Canis lupus familiaris: one gene and its partners. The protein of the gene in region 1 purifies or fractionates together with the protein of each later gene. This does not show direct contact. Links are inferred from orthologs where the notes say so. Each region holds a gene or a part of one and is shown on either strand. Other genes may lie near its edges.

Region 1 (7,540 bases):
CTTACAGTGGCCCCCAACTGGGTACCCTGCCCCTGCCTCCTCCCCCATCAGCCTTTACTCCAGCCACTCTGGCCCCCTTGCTGCTCCTCCAAACTTCCTGGGAGCACCCACCTCTCATCTTATTTGTCTCTGAAATACCTTCTAACACAGAGTAGTTAACATATTATTTATTATATTTGTCTGCTCCTGCCCAGTATGAAATGCAAGCTCCGTGAAGGCAGGGCTTTTTGTTCTCCTACATTTTGCTGTTCTCCACAGTAATCAGAACACTATTTCGCATGTGAGAGGCAATGGGAAGTACCTGTAGAGTGAGTGAACGTTAGTCCTCACCCAAATCCTACCCCTTCATGTGATCACAGTTTTGTGCTTAATGTAGGACAAGTCCTTGTCCTCAGGAGGTTGGTGGGGAGACAAGTTCCTGTTGTAGTTATGTGTGTAATTCTATGTGTGCTAATGCAGCAAAACAGAAGCTGCTGATGAAGTCAGGTGAAGCACATGTGGGCAAATGGCCTTTTTCTTTTCTTAAAGAAAAAAAAGATTATATTTGAGGGACGCCTGGGTAGCTCAGTGGTTGAGCATTTGCCTTCAGCTCAGGACGTGATCCCAGAGTCCCCAGATTGAGTCCCACATCGGGCTTCCTGCAGGGAGCCTGCTTCTCTCTCTGCCTCTCTGTCTCTCATAAATAAAAAAAATAAATAAAATAAAATAAAATTAAATAAATAAATTAAATTAAAAAAAAAAAAGATTATGTTTGAGCAAGAGCATGTGCGAGCAGGGAGGAGGGGCAGCCGAGGGAGGGAAATAATCTCAGGCAGACTCCCCGCTGAGCATGGAGCCCACATAGGGTTCCATCTCACAATTTTAGCATAGTCTGACACTTAATAGACTGAGCCACCCAGGCGCCCCCGTGTGGCCTGACTTTAGAACTGGTTCAAAATGAAAAGTGCACAAGGATCCAGGCCTAGGGGCCCATGAAAAGTCTACCTTGTCCTACCCCAATCAAGGCTGCATTCCACCCTGCCTCAGCCCTCACCCCCGTCTCCAGCTGGCCCTCTGTACTCCCAGCACCTACCATACTAGCCAGAGACAGGGCTGGGCTGGAGAAGGCCTAAAGCCCTTGGCCACAGAAACTGATAGGTCAAGCCTATAAAAAGCCATACTCAAGGAAGCTGTTCATCAAATTGACTGCTTAATAGATAAGGATTTGGGCACACATCTGCTACACATGAATTTGAAATTTCACAAAAGTGAACATTTACAAGTCATGTGCGCAGGCTAAGGCATGGAAATGATTCAGGATGTGGGAGAGGGTGCTTGCTCGGTATACTGAAGTACGCCCTGAGGGTGAGCCATCCATTGCCACATCCCACCAGTCAACGCAGGCCTGAGCCGCAGAGCCCAGTTTCATGCAGTACTCACATGCGAGGGCCTCGCTCAGAAGAGAACTCGCAGTGGAACACGACAATGACACGCTTGCCATCGGTAGGTACAATGGGCTTCTTTAGTAAGAAGTCCTCAACCTCCTCTTCCATGTGCAAGTTCACTGCACCCTGTGAAGGCACCAGAGACTCTTGGAACCTGGGCATAACATACTTGCCAATGATTCTTCTGTGAGAGTCACCTATAATTGGGCACCTCATATTCTGTTATGACTATGGCAGACAGGAGTGGTATTTATGAATTCGGAACTTTTGAAAGCTACTAAGACACTGGCAAATGCTAATGTTGTATTTAATGTACCCTTTTATTGTATTTCAACACTATTTTATTGGTTAAAAGATGAAGTTGGCACAACCAATTACTTTTTTCCTGGGAAAGCATGACCCAACACCTGCCCTCCACCCTGCAGCTTAATTCAACTACAGACTTAGAGGCACCACTAAGTATGGCATAGATTAGGACATGTCACCAGACTGGCTTCTGGTCAGAAGCCTTGGGGTGCCCAGGCCTGGCTTAGAAATCAGTGGGCACCACCTAGAAATGCCCTTGATGGTGATGGTGTGAAGCAAAGGACAGGCAGCATTTGCTGTACAATGTGGTGAAGAGCAGTGTAGGGCAAGGGAACGTTCTTCAGTGCACTAGGAATCAAATTGTCTTTTAAAAAATCTCATAACCAGGGCAGCCCTGGTGGCTCAGTGGTTTAGCGCCACCTTCAGCCCAAGGCGTGATCCTGGAAACCCGGGATGGAGTCCCTTGTTGGGCTTCCTGCATGGAGCCTGCTTCTCCCTCTGCCTGTGTTTGTGTCTCTGCCTCTCTCCCTCCCTCTGTGTGTGTGTCTCTCATGAATAAATAAAATCTTTAAAAAAAAAAAAAAGAATATTATGTGTGAAATTAATATTAATATTAAAAAATTAAAATCTCATAACCAGCACATGAGCTATTAAGTAGCCAGGTGTTACCACCTCTTCCCTTTATTTTACGTTTTAATTTTATTTTATTTAAAGATTTTATTTATTTATTCGTGAGAGACACAGACAGAGTCAGAGACACAGGCAGAGAAAGAAGCAGGCTGCATGCAAGGAATCTGATCTGGGACACAATCCCGGTACTCCAGGATCACACCCTGGGCCGAAGGCAGATGCCCAAATGCTGAGCCACCCAGGTGTCCCTTATTTTTATTTTTTTAAAATAGGCTTCAATCCTGAGATCAAGACCTGAACTGAGATCAAGAGTGGGACGCTTAACCATCTAAGTCACCCAGGCACCCCGACCATCCCACACCCTTTTAAAAATCACAAATTCTGGGACGCCTGGCTCAGCATTTGGGTATCTGCCTTTGGCTCAGGGCGTGATCCCCTGGTCCTGGGATCGAGTCCCACATTGGGCTCCCTGCATGGATAAATAAGTAAAATCTTAAAAATAATAAATAAAAGAACCCATACCTTGATGTGGCCTCCCTCATATTCATACGGGTACCGGCAATCAATGATAACAAATTCTTTAATGAGGTTGGCAAACTTGCCGTTTAAAACAGATGCCATCTGTGGAGAGAAAACCCAGGAGAATCAACTTTGGTTGTCAGGAACAACTAGAACCAAATACCTCATGGGTGACAGGATCCAAAAAGATGACTTACAATTTCTGGAGAGATGTATTTTAAATCCTGATGCTTCCCAGCAACTGTATGAAAGAGATAACCCTTAAAGAAAAAAAAATTTTTTTTAAGCAAATCTCAAGGCTGATAAATGTAACAATTATAAGCACACCAGCAATTACTCATTAAGGCAACTGGCTGAATCAAGAGCTCACCCATCCCCATGGCCATTGGCAAGGTCATTATGACAAATATAACCAACAGTTTCAATTCAAGTGGAAGGTTCCACCAATGGGGACACAGTCTTTGCTCCTTCTTCCATTCAGATGGAGTTGTTGCCTATTTTCAACCCCCTTATGTGTCCCTATTTCTTCAAAACTCACCTGGCTGAAATATGAAATATGGCCCAGACCCATACCTTCCACAATCTTCTAGGTGAGACAACTCCCTTTTATTTCTTCCAGGCTGCTCACACTGCCCTCAATAAACTTCCATCTACTGTGTAGTCGACAGCATGACAGGTCTTACTGACCACAGGATAAGTTGTTTGAGAGAAGGAACTGGGACTTAATTTTGGAATCTTTGCTTAACATGTAATAGTGTTTCAACAAATGTTAGCTAAACCAATGATGCTCTGGTAGCCTTCACATCTATCCTATGTGTCTAAACAAGCTGCTACTGATACATTCCCTGTCCCACCCTCATATTTCACCACAGCCCAAAGACAGCTAACTCTTCCACTCAGCAAATCCATACATATCAGGCCATCAGCAGATCTCCCTCTGCACTCCCCTGAGGGCCTTCTCCTTCAAAGGCTATACTTCTCTGGACAACAGAGAAATTAAATTCATCAACCTTGGATATTCCAAGATAACCTTTGGATATACAATTGTGTAGTAAGGCTACAGGTTTATTCTTATTTCTTTGTACTTTACTGCATTACTATTTTTATAATCAGAGCCTGGCCTTTGTGTTGGAGTCAAGGTGGCTGGTGGGTAGCTTCCTACTTCCTCTGATTAGTACCAGTAAGGTCTATAGTCCCACAGAGACCAAGATACGTCTGATCATGAGTCTGTTTCCTTATCTTCAAAAACTTTAAATTGTGTCCCCTTAAGGGCATTGCCAAGAGCCACCGAGTGAGGGAGAAAGGCAGGGGAGCCTTCTAGGAAGCACCTAAAGCCCAAATTACCTAGTCAGAGCAGCTCTCCTTGCATCTACTTAGAATTACCTTGGAGAAGTCTCCTATAAGATCCCTTGGGTCATTATCCAAAATGTTCTCAATGGTCCCTTTCGGGGAAGATATCAGGGATAAAGACTGATGTAGAATCTGTAACAAATCAGAGGTAGAAAATGAGGCCAGGGTTTTGAATAGGACTTTTGAAAACATTCACCTAGAACATGTCACCAGGAGGAGAGTGACAGGGCAGCCCGGGTGGCTCAGTGGTTTAGCGCCTGTTTTCAGCCCAGCAGGGTCTGATCCTGGAGACCCGGGATCGAGTCCCGTATCAGGCTTCCTGCAAGGAGCCTGCTTCTCCCTCTGCCTGTGTCTCTGCCTCTCTCTGTGTCTCTCATGAATAAATAAAATCTTTAAAAAAAAAAGAGAGTGACATGTAAATGTCTATATTTAGCAAATAAAACATTTTCTTTATTTGATTGAAAAAGAGAATATGGGTCACTGGCTAGGTCTACTATTATTTTAGCATCTAACTGAAATGTTCTGAAACTAAGTTTTCCTTTTCTACCTTTTTTTAAAAGGGAAATTAAGGGGCACCTGAGTTGGTTCAGTCAATTGGGAATCTGATTCTGGGGTCCTGAGATCGAGCCCTGCGTTGGCTTTCCTGCTCAGTGGGGAGCTTCTTCTTCCTCTCCCTCGCAAATGTATGTTTTCACTCACTCTGCTCTCTCTCGCAAATAAATATTTTTTTTTAAAAAGAGGGGGAATTAAAATTAAGGCTGAGTCTAAAATAAGTATTTTTTTGCTCTATCCACTGAGGTACAATGAGCATTCCTAAAGGATACCATGGTCTCCAAATACTATTTTCCACTAAAAGAAACCAGGGCTTGGCACGGGTTTCTCAGCAGTTAAGTGCCTGCCTTTGGCTCAGGGAGTGATCCTGGAGTTCTGGGATCGAGTCCCACATGGGGCTCCCCATAGGGAACCTGCTTCTCCCTCTGTCTGTGTCTCTGCCTCTGTCTTGAATATATAAATGAAATCTAAAAAAGAAAAAAAAAAAAGAAAAAAGAAACTAGGCTTTGAGGGTGTCTGGCTGGCTCAGTTGGTAGAGCATGCAACTTTTGGTCTCGTTTTATTTATTTTTTTTGAAAGATTTTATTTATTCATGAGAGACACTCCCACACAGAGAGAAGCAGAGACGCAAGCAGAGGGAGAAGCAGGCTTCATGCAGGGAGCCTGATGCGGGACTTGTGATGTGGGACTTGATCCCAAGACTCCAGGATCACACCCTGAGCCACCCGGGTATCCTTCGATCTCCACATTGCGTGTAGATGACTTAAAAAATAAAATCTTAAAAAAAAAAAAAAAGAAAGAAAAAAGAAAAAGAAAGAAAGGAACAAATAAACCAGGGTTTTTGAAGTGACTGACTCCAGGTTGGGATAAGAAATGTATAATATAAACCTGGAATGCCTTATGATAGTAGCAAGGAAGCTATTAGACTAGTAGAGTGATGTCAAAAGGGTTAGTCATGGGGAGGTAAGGATTTCTTTTAAGTAGGACACAAAAAGCACTAAACATAAAATAAGACCGATTAATTGAAATACATTTAACAAGTCCAGAAATTCTGCTCATCAAAAGAACAGTATTAAGAGACAAGGCAAGCCAGAGTGAGAAGATAAACAATCTTTAAAAGAATCCTCTCTGGGGCAGCCCCGGTGGCGCAGCGGTTTAGCGCGGCCTGCAGCCCAGGGTGTGATCCTGGAGACTTGGGATCGAGTCCCAGGTTGGGCTCCTTGCATGGAGCCTGCTTCTCCCTCTGCCTGTGTCTCTGCCTCTCTCTCTCTCTCTCTCTCTGTATGTCTCTCATGAATAAATAAAGAAAATCTTTAAAAAAATAATTAAATAAAAGAATCCTCTCTGAATGTATACAGTACTTCCACAAATAAGAGATAACCCAATAGAAAAATGGGCACATTCACTTGGACTAGCAATACAGAGAGGGAAAATCAGGACCAAGAAAAATAACTATCAGGGAAATAAAAACTAAAACCGCAGACACTGTACACTCACCAGAATGGACACATAAAATAGATGATTCTCACAAAAGTAATGCTGAACAAGAGAATCCAGACATAAAAGAAATACATACAGTAGGACTTCAAGTTTATACGATTTGAATACAGGCAAAGCTCAGCTATAGCAACAGAGTTCAGATCAGTGTCGTTGAGGGAGAGAGCACAGGAGGGGCTCTGGGCTGCTGCTAATGTTCTTTCTTGGTCATGGTTGGCATTTACGGAGATATATTTATTTTAAAGAAAGGGAGCATGCATTTTGCCTTTCCCACAAGTGACCAAAGAGTTTGATGCACGGAAGTTTCTCTTTGAGGTACATTCTGCCAATAAATGAAGAATGACAGAACTTTCTAAAAAAAATTATTAAAAAAAAAAAAAAAAAAGAATGACAGAACTACAGGATCACTTTTTTGAAACCTTGGTTAAATGAAATCTAGGCAATCATCATCAATGACTTCCCAGCAATGTGTCTCCTGATCAAAGTAAACAAAATCACCCATGAGATATTCATGCCAAAGAAACTGAATCTCAATCTCATCAAGTCTTCCTAGTGTTTAGAGGTTTATGGGCAATAAAAAGGAGAGAAGACAATATTAGAAGATCCCATAGGACTGTGGGAACTTCTACAAGGCAACTGGCCTGAGTTCTTCAATCACTAAATTTCAAGAAGGAAACAAAAAGATGGGAGCACAGGAGCCCAAATAATAAGAGACCTAGTGACCAATCGCAATGCACAGATGTTATTTCAACCCAAATTTGAAATGCATTTAGGAGACCATTAAAAATGATACTGGGGCACCTGGATGGCTTAGTCAGTTAAGTGTCTGACTTGATTTCAGCTCAAGTCATGATCTCAGAGCTGTGAGATAAAACTGTGTCAGGCCTACTTAAGATTCTCTCTGTCCCTCCCACTGACTCTCCTTCCATAAATGAATGAATGAATGAATATATAAATGGGGGAGGGGGTAAATATACTAAATGTACATAGGTTTTTGCCCTAGCAACCCCATTTATTCCCCCCAAAATAAGCACGAAAGGACAGTGAATATTGTAATTGTTTATAGCATTTGAAAACTAGAAACAGGGAGGGACGCCTGGGTGGCTCAGCAGTTGAACGTCTGCCTTTGGCTCAGGGTGTGGTCCCGGGATTGAGTCCCACATTAGGCTTCCTGCATGAAGCCTACTTCTTCCTCTGCCTGTGTCTCTGCCTCTCTCTCTTGCTCTCTCATGAATAAATAAATAAAATCTTAAGAAAAAAAA
Region 2 (7,008 bases), on another chromosome or scaffold:
AGTGACAGGTCACTGGGCCCATGAACTTCATAAATACTTGCTAAATGAGAATTAAAGTATAATGCTGATGAACACCAGGTCCAGGGAAATTTTTAAAAACCAGGCATGCTTTTCACTGTTCCCTGAGGGAGTCATGTTGCTCATCAGAACCAAATCTCCCTGAGTGGTCCTCAATGAGCAACACCCCTATCAACTACCATAACTCATGCTGCCTCAAAAAGGCAGCTGGACTGAAAATCCTTATTGTTTACTAAAGTATTCAGTATTCACAGTGCAAGAGTAGACTGTACCTCCTCCCTGACAGCCTAGCAGGACTAACGCCACTTGTCATATATTCCTGCTTACTCAAATCTTCACCAAAAACCCAAGTGTCCATGTCACCCTTTATCTCATAACCAAAATGCTGTTTACACCCTCTAATATAAGCTAATTCCCCTCCTTTGTCCTTCCGCCTAAATACCAGATTTTCACATAACTAGTTCTCTGTCAATGTTTAGGTCTCACATCAAATACCATCCTCTCAAAGGTCTTATCTGACCATGCTAGGTAGGTCTTATGTCATGCTCAATTATAGCACTATGTATTTCATTCACAGCAATGTCACAATTTGTAATTATAATTTAGTTTTTCTGGTTTACTTGCTTAGTAATTTTTTGTTTACTGGTTTATTACATATCTTTCTAAATTAGACAATAAAGTCCATAAAAGTCAGAGATGATACTCATGTTGCTTACCACTCTCCACCCAATGCCTACATCCAGCACCTGATATGTGCATAATAAATATATGTTGGATGAAAAAAAGCTACTAAATAGTTAACCAAGAATATCATTATATAAACAGAAACATACACTTTGCTCCATTTCTAGTGCCACTACCATTACACAAATGAACACCATTTAATTGGTTGAAACAATTTTTAAATGGTCTCCCAGCTTCTCTTGCTTCACTACTTTCTTCCCTTGTGAATCTGCTCTCTACATAGTAAGAAAAGTGATTTACAAAAAGTAAACTTAAAGAAGACAAAGTTACTTAAGAATTTTGCTTCCGAGAAAAAAAAAGTTGATCTATTTTTCCTTATTTTTCCCCTTATGTACAATTTAAAACCCTGGACACTATGTATACAACAAACATCTGAAGACTCTAAAATGTGGAGAGAGGGCATATCAGTAGAAACACAGAGACTCAAGGAATGAAAGGGTGGTGAGTTTCCTAGGCTTTCTTTTTGCCTCAAATATTCCAGATTTGAAACTGAATAACTGGTAACCCAAAAAGACCAATACACACAAACAAAGCTCAAACAAAAGTCATACACCCATGGAAATTTGAGAGGAGAAAATATACTTGGAAATGAGAAGGGCAGCAGAAGCCAAAGAGAAGGATTTCGGTATTGAGTGTGTGTATTTCCTTTCTCTCCTCTTCATTCCAGCTCACTGCATTCCTCCTCCTATAGTATACATTTAGATTCCAGATCTCCCTGCTGCATCTGCATGCCAATACTTACACCATCACCACCTCGCTTGACTCCACCACTACCAGATAGGCCCCAATGTCAGAGGAAATACAGAGGCCAGGAATGAAGAAAAGGAGAAGTGGCAGGAAAATGCAAGGGCAGACAGTAAGATACTGAATTAACCTCTTAGCTTTCAAGAAGTTTTCAAAGTACCAATGAAGAAGGGAAAAGAGAGGGGTACCTAGGTGGCTCAGTGGTTGAGCATCTGCCTTGGGCTCAGGGCATGATCCCAGGGTCCTGGGATGGAGTCCCACATCAGATTCCCCACATTGAGCCTGCTTCTCCCTCTGCCTATGTCTCTGCTTCTCTCTCTGTGTCTCTCATGAGAAAATAAATAAAATCTTTAATTTAAAAAAAAAAAAAAGAAGGGAAAAAAGAGAGGAGAGACCTACAATGGTGTGGCTCTTCATACCCAAGTATACACTGAGTATTTATTAGGAGTTGCAAATTTACTACCACATTCAATTAAATGGAGAAGGTTTTATGAAAGACGTGAAAGAAGAAAGAAAGAAAGAAAGAAAGAAAGAAAGAAAGAAAGAAAGAAAGAAAGAAAGACAGACATGAAAATGTGGGAATTAACTGAAAGAAGAATTTGGTGAATTGCCAAGTTAAAGGAAATTTAGGAAACACTGCAAAGATGTCAATATATCAATTAAACCAAAAAGAAAACTGAGTATTCTCAATTATTAATACATGATTACAACCAATATTATACAAATATATTTAAATATACAATGAAATATAAGCTATATTATAATTACACATCAAGAAAAAACTAATTAGAGGTGCTGCGGAGGAACGGCTGTTGACCCGCGGGCCTCGGCTCCCGGCTCCCGGCTCCCGGCTCCCGGCTCCCGGCTCCCGGCTCGTCAGCGGCTCCCGCGCTCTCCTCTCCCCCCGTGAAGACGCGGCCATGGCGCTCCGGGTCACCAGGAACACAAAAGTGAATGTTGAAAACAAGGCGAAGATCGGTATGGCAGGGGCAAAGCAGGTGCCTCTGGCCTCTGCTGCAGCCTCCAAGCCCGGCCTGAGGCCAAGAACTGCTCTGGGAGACATTGGTAACAAAGTCAGTGAACAACCACAGGCCAAACTGCCTCTGAAAAAGGAAGCAAAAACTGCAGTTCCTGGAAAAGTCATTGCTAAAAAAATACCAAAGCCTCTGGAGAAGGCACCTGAGCCTGTCCCTGTCCCTGTGCCAGAACCAGAGCTGGAACCTGAGCCGGTTAAAGAAGAAAAACTTTCACCCGAGCCTATTTTGGTTGATACTCCCTCTCCAAGCCCGATGGAAACATCTGGATGTGCTCCTGCAGAAGAATATCTGTGTCAGGCTTTCTCTGATGTAATTCTTGCAGTGAATGATGTAGATGCAGAAGATGGAGCTGATCCAAACCTTTGTAGTGAATACGTGAAAGATATTTATGCTTATCTGAGACAACTTGAGGAAGAACAAGCAGTCAAACCAAAATACCTACTGGGTCGTGAAGTCACTGGAAACATGAGAGCCATCCTAATTGACTGGCTAGTACAGGTTCAAAAAAAATTCAGGTTACTGCAGGAGACCATGTACATGACTGTTTCCATTATTGATCGGTTCATGCAGAATAACTGTGTGCCCAAGAAGATGCTGCAGCTGGTTGGTGTCACTGCCATGTTTATTGCAAGCAAATATGAGGAAATGTACCCTCCAGAAATTGGTGACTTTGCCTTTGTGACTGACAATACTTACACTAAACACCAAATCAGACAGATGGAAATGAAGATTCTAAGATCCTTAAATTTTGGTCTGGGCTGCCCTCTACCCCTGCATTTCCTTCGGAGAGTGTCTAAGATTGGAGAGGTTGATGTTGAGCAACATACTTTGGCCAAATACCTGATGGAGCTATCTATGTTGGACTGCGATATGGTACACTTTCCTCCTTCTCAGATTGCAGCAGGAGCTTTTTGCTTAGCGCTGAAAATTCTCGATAATGGTGAATGGACACCAACTCTACAGCATTTTCTGTCCTACACTGAAGAATCCCTTCTAAATGTTATGCAACACCTGGCTAAGAATATAGTCATGGTGAATCGTGGGCTTACAAAGCACATGACTATCAAGAACAAGTATGCCGCCTCTAAGCATGCTAAGATCAGCACTCTGGCACAGCTAAATTCTGCACTAGTTCAAGATTTAGCCAAGGCTGTGGCAAAGGTGTAACTTGAAACATGCATTGGAGTATTGTAATATCTGCAAATAAAATTGGCACCATGTGCCATCTGTATATATTATATGTTACCTTTACTTACTTTTAATAAAGCTTGTGGTCCTTTTTAACTTCTTAAAAAAAAAAGAAAAAACTAATTAGATATATTTTCTAAGTTTTCATTTTTTTAATTTAAAAAAATTTTTTTTAATTAATTAATTTGTTGTTTAAGTAATCTCCATATCCAACATAGGACCTGAACTTACGGCTCCAAGATCACAAGTCGGATGTTCTATCAACTAAGCCAGCCTGGAACCCCTAAGTTTTCATTTTTAAGGTACAAATTAGTGTAACCGAAACTGCGTGTACTAGGAGACAACTAAAACCTTGAAATGAACATTTAAAATATACAGTCATTAGTGTATGCAATATCTTTTGCATATTTTAATCTAAGCTTTTCAAATTCTCAATACCTTTTGATAATATTGGCTAATGTTAAAGTCAAACTATATATCTCAGAAACCATATTCTAGAATTTGCGTACAATATCAGTACCTTTTATTTTGCTACACAATTTAATGCCACTTACAACTTTTCTTTAAAAAAATAATGGTGAAGTGCTAAATTTTGCCACAAGGTGGCTCTTCCCAGGTTTTAAATGAACTGCATCATGTACTCAACTCTACAAAAATCAACATAGAGAACATAATATCTCTTACATTTCTTTTAAAGTGAATATTTGACATAGAGCCAGTATGGGGAAAAGAAGGAAAAAAATCTAAGCATGATACAATGCATATACAACTAAACATTCATTCCATGATGATGTATGTGAGTTTATGTCTGTGTCTGTGTGTGAAAGAGAAAGAGACTGTTACCATAATGTATATAGAGGACACTCCAGCTCCCGAGTAGCTGTAGTAAAATGTGGTACTAACAATGAGACTGAAAAAAGAGAAATTAAGGAGTCGACCCCATTTACAATTGCACCCCAAAGCATAAGATACCTAGGAATAAACCTAACCAAAGAGGTAAAGGATCTATACTCTAAAAACTACAGAACACTTCTGAAAGAAATTGAGGAAGACACAAAGAGATGGAAAAATATTCTATGCTCATGGATTAGAAGAATTAATATTATGAAAATGTCTATGCTACCCAGGGCAATTTACACGTTCAGTGCAGTCCCTATCAAAATACCATGGACTTTCTTCAGAGAGTTGGAACAAATCATCTTGAGATTTGTGTGGAATCAAAAAGACCCCAAATAGCCAGGGGAGTATTGAAAAAGAAAAACAGAGCCGGGAGCATCACAATGCTGGATTTCAGGTTGTACTACAAAGCTGTGATCATCAAGACAGTGTGGTACTGGCATGAAAACAGACACATAGATCAATGGAACAGAATAGAGAATCCAGAAGTGGACCCTGAACTTTATGGGCAACTAATATTCGACAAAGCAGGAAAGACTATCCACTGTAAAAAGGACAGTACCTTCAATATATGGTGCTGGGAAAATTGGACAGCCACGTGCAAAAGAATGAAACCAGACCATTCTCTTACACCATACACAAAGATAAACTCAAAATGGATGAAAGATCTAAATGTGAGACAAGAATCCATCAAAATCCTAGAGGAGAACACAGGCAACACCCTTTTTGAACTCGGTCACAGTAACTTCTTGCAAGATACATCCATGAAGGCAAAAGAAACAAAAGCAAAAATGAACTATTGGGACTTCATCAAGATAAGAAGCTTTTGCACAGCAAAGGATACAGTCAACAAAACTCAAAGACAACCTACAGAATGGGAGAAGATATTTGCAAATGACGTATCAGATAAAGGGCTAGTTTCCAAGATCTATAAAGAACTTATTAAACTCAACACCAAAGAAACAAACAATCCAATCATGAAATGGGCAAAAGACATGAAGAGAAATCTCACAGAGGAAGACATAGACATGGCCAACATGCACATGAGAAAATGCTCTGCATCACTTGCCATCAGGGAAATACAAATCAAAACCACAATGAGATACCACCTCACACCAGTGAGAATGGGGAAAATTAACAAGGCAGGAAACCACAAATGTTGGAGAAGGTGTGGAGAAAAGGGAACCCTCTTACACTGTTGGTGCGAATGTGAACTGGTGCAGCCACTCTGGAAAACTGTGTGGAGGTTCCTCAAAGAGGTAAAAATAGACCTGCCCTACGACCCAGCAATTGCACTGCTGGGGATTTACTCCAAAGATACAGATGCAGTGAAATGCTGGAACACCTGCACCCCGATGTTTCTAGCAGCAATGTCCACAATAGCCAAACTGTGGAAGGAGCCTTGGTGTCCACCAAAAGATGAATGGATAAAGAAGATGTGGTCTATATATATAATGGAATATTCCTCAGCCATTAGAAAGGACGAATACCCACCATTTGCTTCGACATTGATGGAACTGGAGGGTATTATGCTGAGTGAAGTAAATCAATTGGAGAAAGACAATCATTATATGGTTTCACCCATATGGGGAATATAATAAATAGTGAAAGGGATTAAAGGGGAAAGGAGAGAAAATGAGTGGGAATAATCAGAGAGGGAGACAGAACATGAGAGACACCTAATTCTGGGAAACAAACAAGGGGTAGTGGAAAGGGAGGTGGGCGGGGGGTTGGGGTGACTGGGTGATGGGCACTGAGGGGTACACCCGACAGGATGAGCACTGGGTGTTATACTATATGTTGGCAAATCGAACTCCAATAAAAAAAATATATATATATGAAAAAAATGTGGTACCTAAGGCATCTCCTAAACAGAAGGCACCCTGAATAGGTTCTTTCATCACTTATTTGAAAATCCAGGAGAGCTCTTTTTCCACTTGTATAGGAGTACATCTCCCATTCAATGTGAGATGCAGGGTGGATATGAACTCATTCACCTAAGAAATATCTTTATTTGGCTCAGTTGGAAGAGCATGTGACTCTTGATCTTGGAATTGTGAGTTCAAGCCCCATATTGGGTTTAGAGATTACTTTTTAAAAAATTAATAAACTTTTAAAAATGAAATAAAAAATAAGTATCTTACTAGCATTTGAAGGAAGCCCAAAATACAAAACATTCATCATTTGACAAATAAGGGCCATCATTCCCATGGCCCCTTACTAGCATTTGAAGGAAGCCCAAAATACAAAACATTCATCATTTGACGAAATACAAAACATTCATCATTAGTCCAGACTATAGTCTAGTTTCTGCAATGGACAATGCAGCAAAGTGGTTAAGAACACAGACTGGAGCCAAATTGTCTTGGTTCCAATGGTG
Region 3 (7,572 bases), on another chromosome or scaffold:
GGGGATTCCACTTACTCGATCCACGTTTCCCAAGGGAAAAAATTTAAATGAATCTCAAACTTAGGCTTCACAAGTCTGCTTTTCAAACATGAGTAAGATTATGCTTTAGAAAGAAGACAGTTTTCCAAATGCTGTTAAAAGCGATGACATTCCCACAGAATCCACACACTTTGAGAAGGCCTAAAGAAATCTTAAAATAGTATCAATTAAAAACCATCTTATTTTTTTTTTTTTTTTTACAAATGAGGAAATATAGGCCCAGCAAAATTAAGCTTGAATTAGACCTCAGGTCTTCTCTACCAAGCAAAATGTTCTATGCAAAATGTCCTAAGTAAAAATAAATGAACGAATAAACAACAGACACATGGCTGGAAAATATCTGTATGAATAAATGTTTTAACATCATTAAGTATCATAATTCTGTTTACAGCACGCATTATCAAATGTACATGTTATAAACAGGGAGCTGAAAAGTCCTCAGTAATAGAATGGAGTTAAGGGTTTTACTCAAATATAATGTATTCTTCATTTAATGTTTACTTCTCAGTTTTGAAAAGCAAACAAATACACCTTACTGAGAAAATACTAGGTAACAGAAAAAAGAGCAAGGTGAGCCTAGAACTGGCCCTTAAAAATGGTAAACTTTTTTCTAGGCACATCTACTAAAAGACAATTCGAGGGCAGCCTGGGTGGCTCAGCGCCGCCTTCAGCCCAGGGCCTGATCCTGGAGACCCAGGATTGAGTCTCACGTTGGGCTCCCTGCATGGAGCCTGCTTCTCCCTCTGCCTGTGTCTCGGCTGTGCTGTCTCTCATTCATAAATAAAAAATTAAAAAAAAAAAAAGACAATTCGAAACAAGCCTATGGTCCCCCAAAGACATCATATTCCAGACTGACTCAACTGCTGAGGACAGAAGACCTGTGGCTTTGGAAGCCATGTAAGGCTGAAACAGCAAAGAACAAAAATACACACACATTCCTAAATTTGGGGGGCCCTCATTTTTAATTTGAACGGCAAGTAGCAAGTCAATTTAAAGTGCTCATTTTGGGGTGCCTCGCTAGCTCAGTCAGAAAAGCACTCCACTCCTGATTTTGGGGTTGTGGGTTTGAGCCTCACATTGGGTGAAAAAAATAAAAATCTTAAAAATAAAATAAAGTACTTCATTTTAATTTTCCAAGTTCAAAGAAAGGTACACTAAGCCTGCTGGGTATACTGGAGGTAAATTTCTGAACAAAGGCCCACAAGGATCCAAGAACGGCCTCTCTTGCAAAAGAGGTCACATCAGACTCCAGTAGCACCGGCACCGCCGGGGCTGGGCGTGCCCTATCTCTACAACAGGGAAGAGCCTCAGCTACCAAGGGATTTCATTTCAAAAGCAAGACTACAATATTTAACCTGGGGGCAAATACTTCAATCCTCTGCTGGACAGATTAGATAGATAGATAGATAGATAGATAGATAGATAGATAGATAGATAGATAGATAAATAACTAGCTAGCTGCACCTTAAAACTAGTTCCCAAGGAAAAAAGCTAATTGAAGTTTCACCACTTGTTAACACTTTCCTAGATTCCCACTGCTGAAGAAAACCTGAGTATTTTTCTGTTGGGGCACTATATTGGATCCAACGATGACCCCAATGATAATAAAACTTTCATTCTTACCAGCATAAGCAGGGTTTTCTGCAGCCCACATCAGAAGTGGTCAAACACTGGGTATCAGAATCATTCCAGATTTACTCATTCAAAAGACAACTGGGATACCAAGTTCCATGCTACTTTGGGGAGGCAAAAGGAAGGCATATCCCCTACCTTCAAGGAATTCATAGCCTGAAATGCATAAAGGCTGCAATGACAACACTAAGTTAATCACCTCTAGCAGACAATATTCAGCAAGAGGCAAAGGAGTCTTAGGGGCTGTGACATGGAAGCAGACTGCAGAACCAGTACAGCCATTCCTGTGTCCCTCTGGCCTCTTGATGTGGCCTCCCAGACATTAGGACTGAGAGACACGGCTGCAAGGACCTGAGCATGTGGCTGAGAGAGGGAGGGTATTCAAAATTAAAAGCCTAAGCCTGTCTACAGTGTCTCCTTTTTCTTTTCGGCAAAATCGTTTTTAAAAGACGGTGCCGACGAGGAAAAAAACGTCTAATATTTTCAGAGAGTAATTCTCTCAGACTTGATGCGCAGTCTCCCGAAACCTCCAAAAATGGGCACGGTGGGGTTTAAAGCTTGCGCGCTTGGGAACTGGAAATGCGGTGCTATTTGACTTAACGGGGAAAGCAACAAATAGCACTTCCACTTAAAAAAAAAAAAAAAAAAATCCTAATATCCAAGCACCCTTTTTTAAACAAAGAAAACCCAAAATTCCTTTTTCCACAAAACGGCTGGTTTTGCTTTTCAACATTTCCGCTCTCGCTACACAAAGCCATAAGCTCTCCAGCGTTTCAGAGAATCAGGTAGACAAGGGGGAGGAGGTGTTAAACTTAGAACTGCACACGCTGCGGCGGGGCGTTTTGGGAAAGGGTTAGGTCCCACACACTCAGGGCTCGAGGTAACAGCGAATTTAGTCGCCCTTCTGTCACTCCGCTAAGAGCGTTTCCAACAACAGCGTGGCCACTTACTCCACTCTTCACTTTGTCTCAAACGCCACACTCCAGGGAAGGGGCAATTACACGCAGCAGCAAATACAGGACTTGAGGACGCCGACTGCAATTCCGTATTTGCACACTTACCACCGCTAACCCCAAACTACGAACTAAAGAGCAACCGCCTCGTGATCCAATCGGAACAGAGAATCCTGTTTTTGGCAAAAGAGAGAGAGAGAGAGAGAGAGAGAGAGAGAAAACCCTCAACTTTGGGGCTCAAGTCTCCAGGAATGTTCCTCAAGCGCCTCCCTCTCCCTTTAACCATGTGGGCCACCGACCCCGGCGCGGCACAGGTGGGGGGGGGCGACCCCGCCCGCGCCGGGTTACCTGCGGGGTCAGCGCGCGCTCCCGCCGGGCGCAGGGCCGGGGGCGCGCCGAGGCCCGGCCCGACTCGCGGGCGCCGGGGGGGGGGGGGCACCGGGGGGCGCCGAGGGTCACCGGGGGCTCCGTCCCGCCGGCCGCCGCGCCCGCACCCGCGCGCCTCCCCGGGCCGAGCGGCGACTGTTGCCCAATAATCGCGACCTGCCCCGTCGCAACAATGCGGGGGGGACCCCGAGAGCAGAGCCCGGCTCCCCGGCTGCCCGGCTGCCCGGCTCCCCGGCGCGCGAGCCCTGCACTTTCTTGAGCGCGAGTCGGAGGGGGAAGCGCCGCGCGGGGGACTAGCGGCCCGGGGGGGGGGGATGGGGGCGAGCCCGGGCGCCCCGAGGGGCCGCCGCACGACAGGCCGGGCCCGGTCGCCGCCGGGGGAGAGGCCGGCGCCGCAAGGCCGGCGCCTCTGACGCTCAGACGCGATGAATCGGGCTTTTTTTTTTTTTTTTTAAATCCCCACCCCGCGCCCCAGTGCGTAGTCCAGGCCTGGCCGCACCGAGCCCGCGGCCCGCGCAGGCCGCAGCCGGCCGGGGTGACTCAGGCCCGGGCCCCGCTCGCTCCCCTCGCGCCCCGGCGTCCTCCGCCCACGAGTCCGCCGGCCCGGCCGCCATGCCGGCCCGCGGCGCCTCAGGCCTCGCCGGGCGCCTGTGCTCGGCCGCCGCGGCCCCGTCACTGCGACACCGCGGCTCCGGCCCGGGCCTGCGCCGCCGCCGCCGCCGCCGCCCGCCCCACCCGCCCCGGCCCCGGCCCCGGCCCCGGCCCCGGCCCCGGCCCCGGCCCCGCGCCGCCAGGCCGCCCGGCCGCCACTCACCCGCATCTCCCTGCGGCCTAGAGGGCTCGGCGACGCCTCCGCCTGGCCGCCGGGCCGGCCCCGGTCGCCTCCCCGTCCCGCCGACGTCTGGCCGCGTCCCTCAGCGCGGGGCCGCCCCGCCTGGAGCTGCGCGCGACACGGCGCCCGCCTCCCCCGCCTCCCCCTGCCCGCCGCCGCCGCCGCCGCCGCCGCCGCCCGCGCCGCGCAACCTCCGCCCTCTCGCCTCCCCTCCGCCGCTCCCCGCCCTCCCGGCCTCACCGGCTCCGGCTCCCGCGGGGGAGAGGCTGCGGGGGGAGGGCCGGAACGCGCCGCCATCGGCGTCCGGGGCGGGGGAGCCGGGAAACCGCCGCCGCCATCTCCTCACAAGCCCGCGGCGCGGGAGGGGCCCGGAAGCCTCCCCGCGGCGCGGCCCTGCCCTGCCCTGCCCTGCCCTGCCCTGCCCCCGGGGGCGCCCCCCCGCGCCCCCCGCGCCCCCGCGCCCCCGCGCCCCCGCGACCGGCCGGCTCCCTACCTGGACGCCCGCGGCCCCGATCCTCTCCGGGCGCCTCCCGAGACCCGGCTTCCCGCCACTTCGGACCTCACGAGGAGGGGTCACCTTTCTAGGTCACGGGGGGCGGGGAGGGCACCCGCGTCTGGAGGAGCGGCCCCGAAACACCCTCGAGGGGGGCCTTGCGCCTCCTGCCTCCGGGGGCGGGGGCTCCGAGCCCCGGGACACCTGCGGCCCTGCAGCCCGTACCTGAAAGCCTGGGCCCAGCGGGGCGCGCCCCGCTCCCGAGGGAGCCTCCCCCCGAGAGAAACGCGGCGAGGACGCTGCCCTGCGCTGAACGCTTCAGCCAACTCCGTTTGGGCCCGCGACGAGGAGACACCCATCAGGACGCGCGGGAGGCTCCCCAGGTGTGCGTGGTCGGCGGCGACCTCAGAGAAAACGTCTTCACGTGTCCCCTGGAGCCGCGAACGGCAGCCAGGTGACATCAACGGGCGCTCGGGGCCTCGGGGCCTCGGAACGACTCTAAAACACTAATTTCGGCAGCACAGCCAGCCGCCGGGCGCCTTCCGAGGGGGACAGAGGACGGGGCAAGCACGCTCGCCTGCGACGACCCCCGCCACGGACCAGGGAGCCGGCCCACCCCGCGAACACGCGAGGAAGGATTCCCAATTGGCCTATCTGGGCAAAAGATGTGGTGGATGTAACTTCCTGTTTTGCTTCAAACTAAAACAGAACAGGGATTCTGCTACGAGTACCTTGGGGTGCAAGCCCTAGGCCTACAGCACAAAGCTGCCCCCAGAGCCCACAGTTTATCCTCAGTAATAGGGGTTTTCCTTAGAAGAACCATCCCGCCGGTGCCATGTGGTTCCTTCTATCGAGATGTGGTCTCTGGGAACACCGAGGTGCCTTTGGAAGTACTGCACTTCCCCAAAGTGTGTAACCTCGGCCTGTGCAAGGGTGTCAAAATTCTTGGTTTATCTACTATCCTTATAAATAACCTAGTCAAAAGAACACTTACATCCATTTAGCCATGTTTCGTGGGCACATGGTAAGACTGGAAGTAAAAATGCAAGGCTTGTCCCCGTGGACAGTGCTTTCCACGACACATATATGGCTTCCCGTTTACAGCTTTCATTTCTTCCCTTTTCCCTTTTTACTGGAACCTGAGCTTTCCTCAGACAATAACCCATCTCATCCCCCATAACCTGTGTTCTTCAATATTCTCATTCCATACGGCCTCCTTGCCTGGCACCTCACACAACTAATGTACCAGCTGAGTGGGCCACCTCTCCCTTTACTGTGTATCCCATTCTCTGCTTTTCTTGGAGAGAAGTATTTCATCCACCCATACCACCCTCTCCGCTTCTCCCTGCCTTGGTCCAGGTTGTTGACTTCCTTCTGTCCTTTACTCTCTACCCATCCGCACTATCATTCTTAGCAGTTAGACTATTCCATTGGCTTTTATTGCCCCTTCACAACCAGGCTGCATCTACACCCCTCCTACTCTGGGCGTGTGACCTTGCCTTAGACCTAACAGATCAAGGCCATCTACTCTCTTTTCACTCCAAAAAATCCTTTCCCCATCTTCTCTACCCCCATCTTGGCAAAATTGATGTCCTCCTTTCAGATGACACGAAGTTTGGAGGGATGAATGACCTGGGTAGATGTCAGAATCAAAACTCAAAATAGTCTCAGACTAGAATATTAGGCCCAAACCAATGAAATAAAATATAACTTTTTACAATATAACCTTATGATATGATGAAGTTTTAGATTTAGGCAGACCCTGGTTTATATCCAGACTCAAACTATGTTTTCCTCTAGTTAAGTCAGCTGTTAGAATGGCGGTAAAAAGCCCTACCTCTTAAGGTTGTTGGAAAGAGTAATTCCTCTAAAATCCCAGCATAATTCCCAAACACTAAGTATTAGTTCCCTTTCTTTCCTTGTCTCCCATAAAGTATCTTCCATTTTCTAAATCCTGGGGGCCTGAAAACTCAAAATTCTGGCTCATTTACCTTGTACCCCAGAGCTGGTCACCACATCCTAGAGGAATCCTCTATTTTGGCTCAGTCTGTGAGGTCAGACATTATCATGATCATACCCATCTTCCAGTGAAGAATCCTAGGACTCAGAGAGATAGTAGGCAATTTGCTTCAAATCACTCAGCTTGGTCAGCAGCATAACCTGATCCAGTAATTCCCAGGTCTATACACATCCACTAGTTCACCAAGATATATTCCCACACCTATATTGTTCCTTTAACCTTCTAAATGATTTTCCTGGTTCTGATCTCTTGTCTGTCCTTCCAGCCTGTGCAGTGACTGACTACGGAGGATTCTCTCCTAGCTGATACCTTCATCACTATATCTTTGTCCTTTCAAACTTTTTAATGTCCCCCCCCCCTCCCCACACACACACGCCACTGTTCATAGGGATCAGTCCAAGCAAGCTCTGACCTGGCATTTAAGATTGGCCACAATCTTGTCCTAGCTTACTTTCCCTAATTTATTTCTAGCCACCTCCCAAAAGGAAGTCCCAACTTCACTCGGTCTTGTTGGGCCTACTGTTGGCTCACAAATACCAGTCTTAAATCACTATTTACAAGTGCTTGCTTCCTCCCTTAACCAGAAATAGTTCCCTCTTCCTTTCGTACATTTGTAAACCCTGCTCTCTTTTTGAGATCCAGCTCACACCCCTCCCTCCAGGAAGCCTACGCTGCACCTTCTACCCAGGCTTTTGTGATCTCTTCCTAATTGCTGACTTCTCACATGTGCCTTTAAACTAGATGGTCTGGGCCTTGGGTCGTGCAGTAATTCCTGGGGACTTCAATACTGATTTCAAGGCTCATTCCAAATCTACTGAGTCAAAATTGGGTGGGCAGGGACAGGGAGGGAATTTGAAACTGTCAGAGTTTATATCCTAGTTTTACTACCTCTGGGTAGCATTAAGTAAGTTACTTAACCTGTCTGTGCTTCAATTTCTTCATGCAGGAAAAGAGGGTGATAATTGTGCTTCATATGAGGTTGTTGTGAATTAAATATCTAATGAACATAATCGATAATAATGATGACGATGATGATGACGATGATGAAGAAGAAGGAATTACCCAGAGCCAGTCTAGTGACCTGAGTTTTGGGAACCACTGATTTAATAATGAACCTTCCTCTGCCAAAGTTTCGAATATTATGACCTTAAAACTTCTGGTATTAGCATTATGACATATTACAATAAGTCTTATTGGTTTTGAAACTGTATTTTAA

The links.
Region 2: the proteins of CDC25A (region 1) and G2/mitotic-specific cyclin-B1-like purify together in Homo sapiens (affinity purification with mass spectrometry; 3 studies listed by BioGRID, with this or other methods). This does not show direct contact. The link is inferred for Canis lupus familiaris from reciprocal best matches to the Homo sapiens genes CDC25A and CCNB1.
Region 3: the proteins of CDC25A (region 1) and CUL1 purify together in Homo sapiens (affinity purification with western blotting; 6 studies listed by BioGRID, with this or other methods). This does not show direct contact. The link is inferred for Canis lupus familiaris from reciprocal best matches to the Homo sapiens genes CDC25A and CUL1.

The regions. Positions count from the first base shown.
Region 1 is NC_049241.1:41,246,645-41,254,184, reverse strand, and holds part of CDC25A (M-phase inducer phosphatase 1), read right to left. Parts: intron 4,362-7,540; coding exon 4,263-4,361; intron 3,140-4,262; coding exon 3,077-3,139; intron 2,982-3,076; coding exon 2,883-2,981; intron 1,551-2,882; coding exon 1,420-1,550; intron 1-1,419. UniProt on the Homo sapiens protein: Tyrosine protein phosphatase which functions as a dosage-dependent inducer of mitotic progression. Directly dephosphorylates CDK1 and stimulates its kinase activity. Also dephosphorylates CDK2 in complex with cyclin-E, in vitro.
Region 2 is NC_049250.1:29,510,026-29,517,033, reverse strand, and holds G2/mitotic-specific cyclin-B1-like, read left to right. Parts: upstream 1-2,331; 5' UTR 2,332-2,426; coding exon 2,427-3,710; 3' UTR 3,711-3,732; downstream 3,733-7,008. UniProt on the Homo sapiens protein: Essential for the control of the cell cycle at the G2/M (mitosis) transition.
Region 3 is NC_049237.1:1,738,853-1,746,424, forward strand, and holds the start of CUL1 (cullin-1), read right to left. Parts: upstream 4,604-7,572; 5' UTR 4,337-4,603; intron 4,209-4,336; exon of another isoform or gene 4,084-4,208; intron 4,066-4,083; exon of another isoform or gene 3,826-4,065; intron 2,798-3,825; exon of another isoform or gene 2,733-2,797; intron 1-2,732. UniProt on the Homo sapiens protein: Core component of multiple cullin-RING-based SCF (SKP1-CUL1-F-box protein) E3 ubiquitin-protein ligase complexes, which mediate the ubiquitination of proteins involved in cell cycle progression, signal transduction and transcription.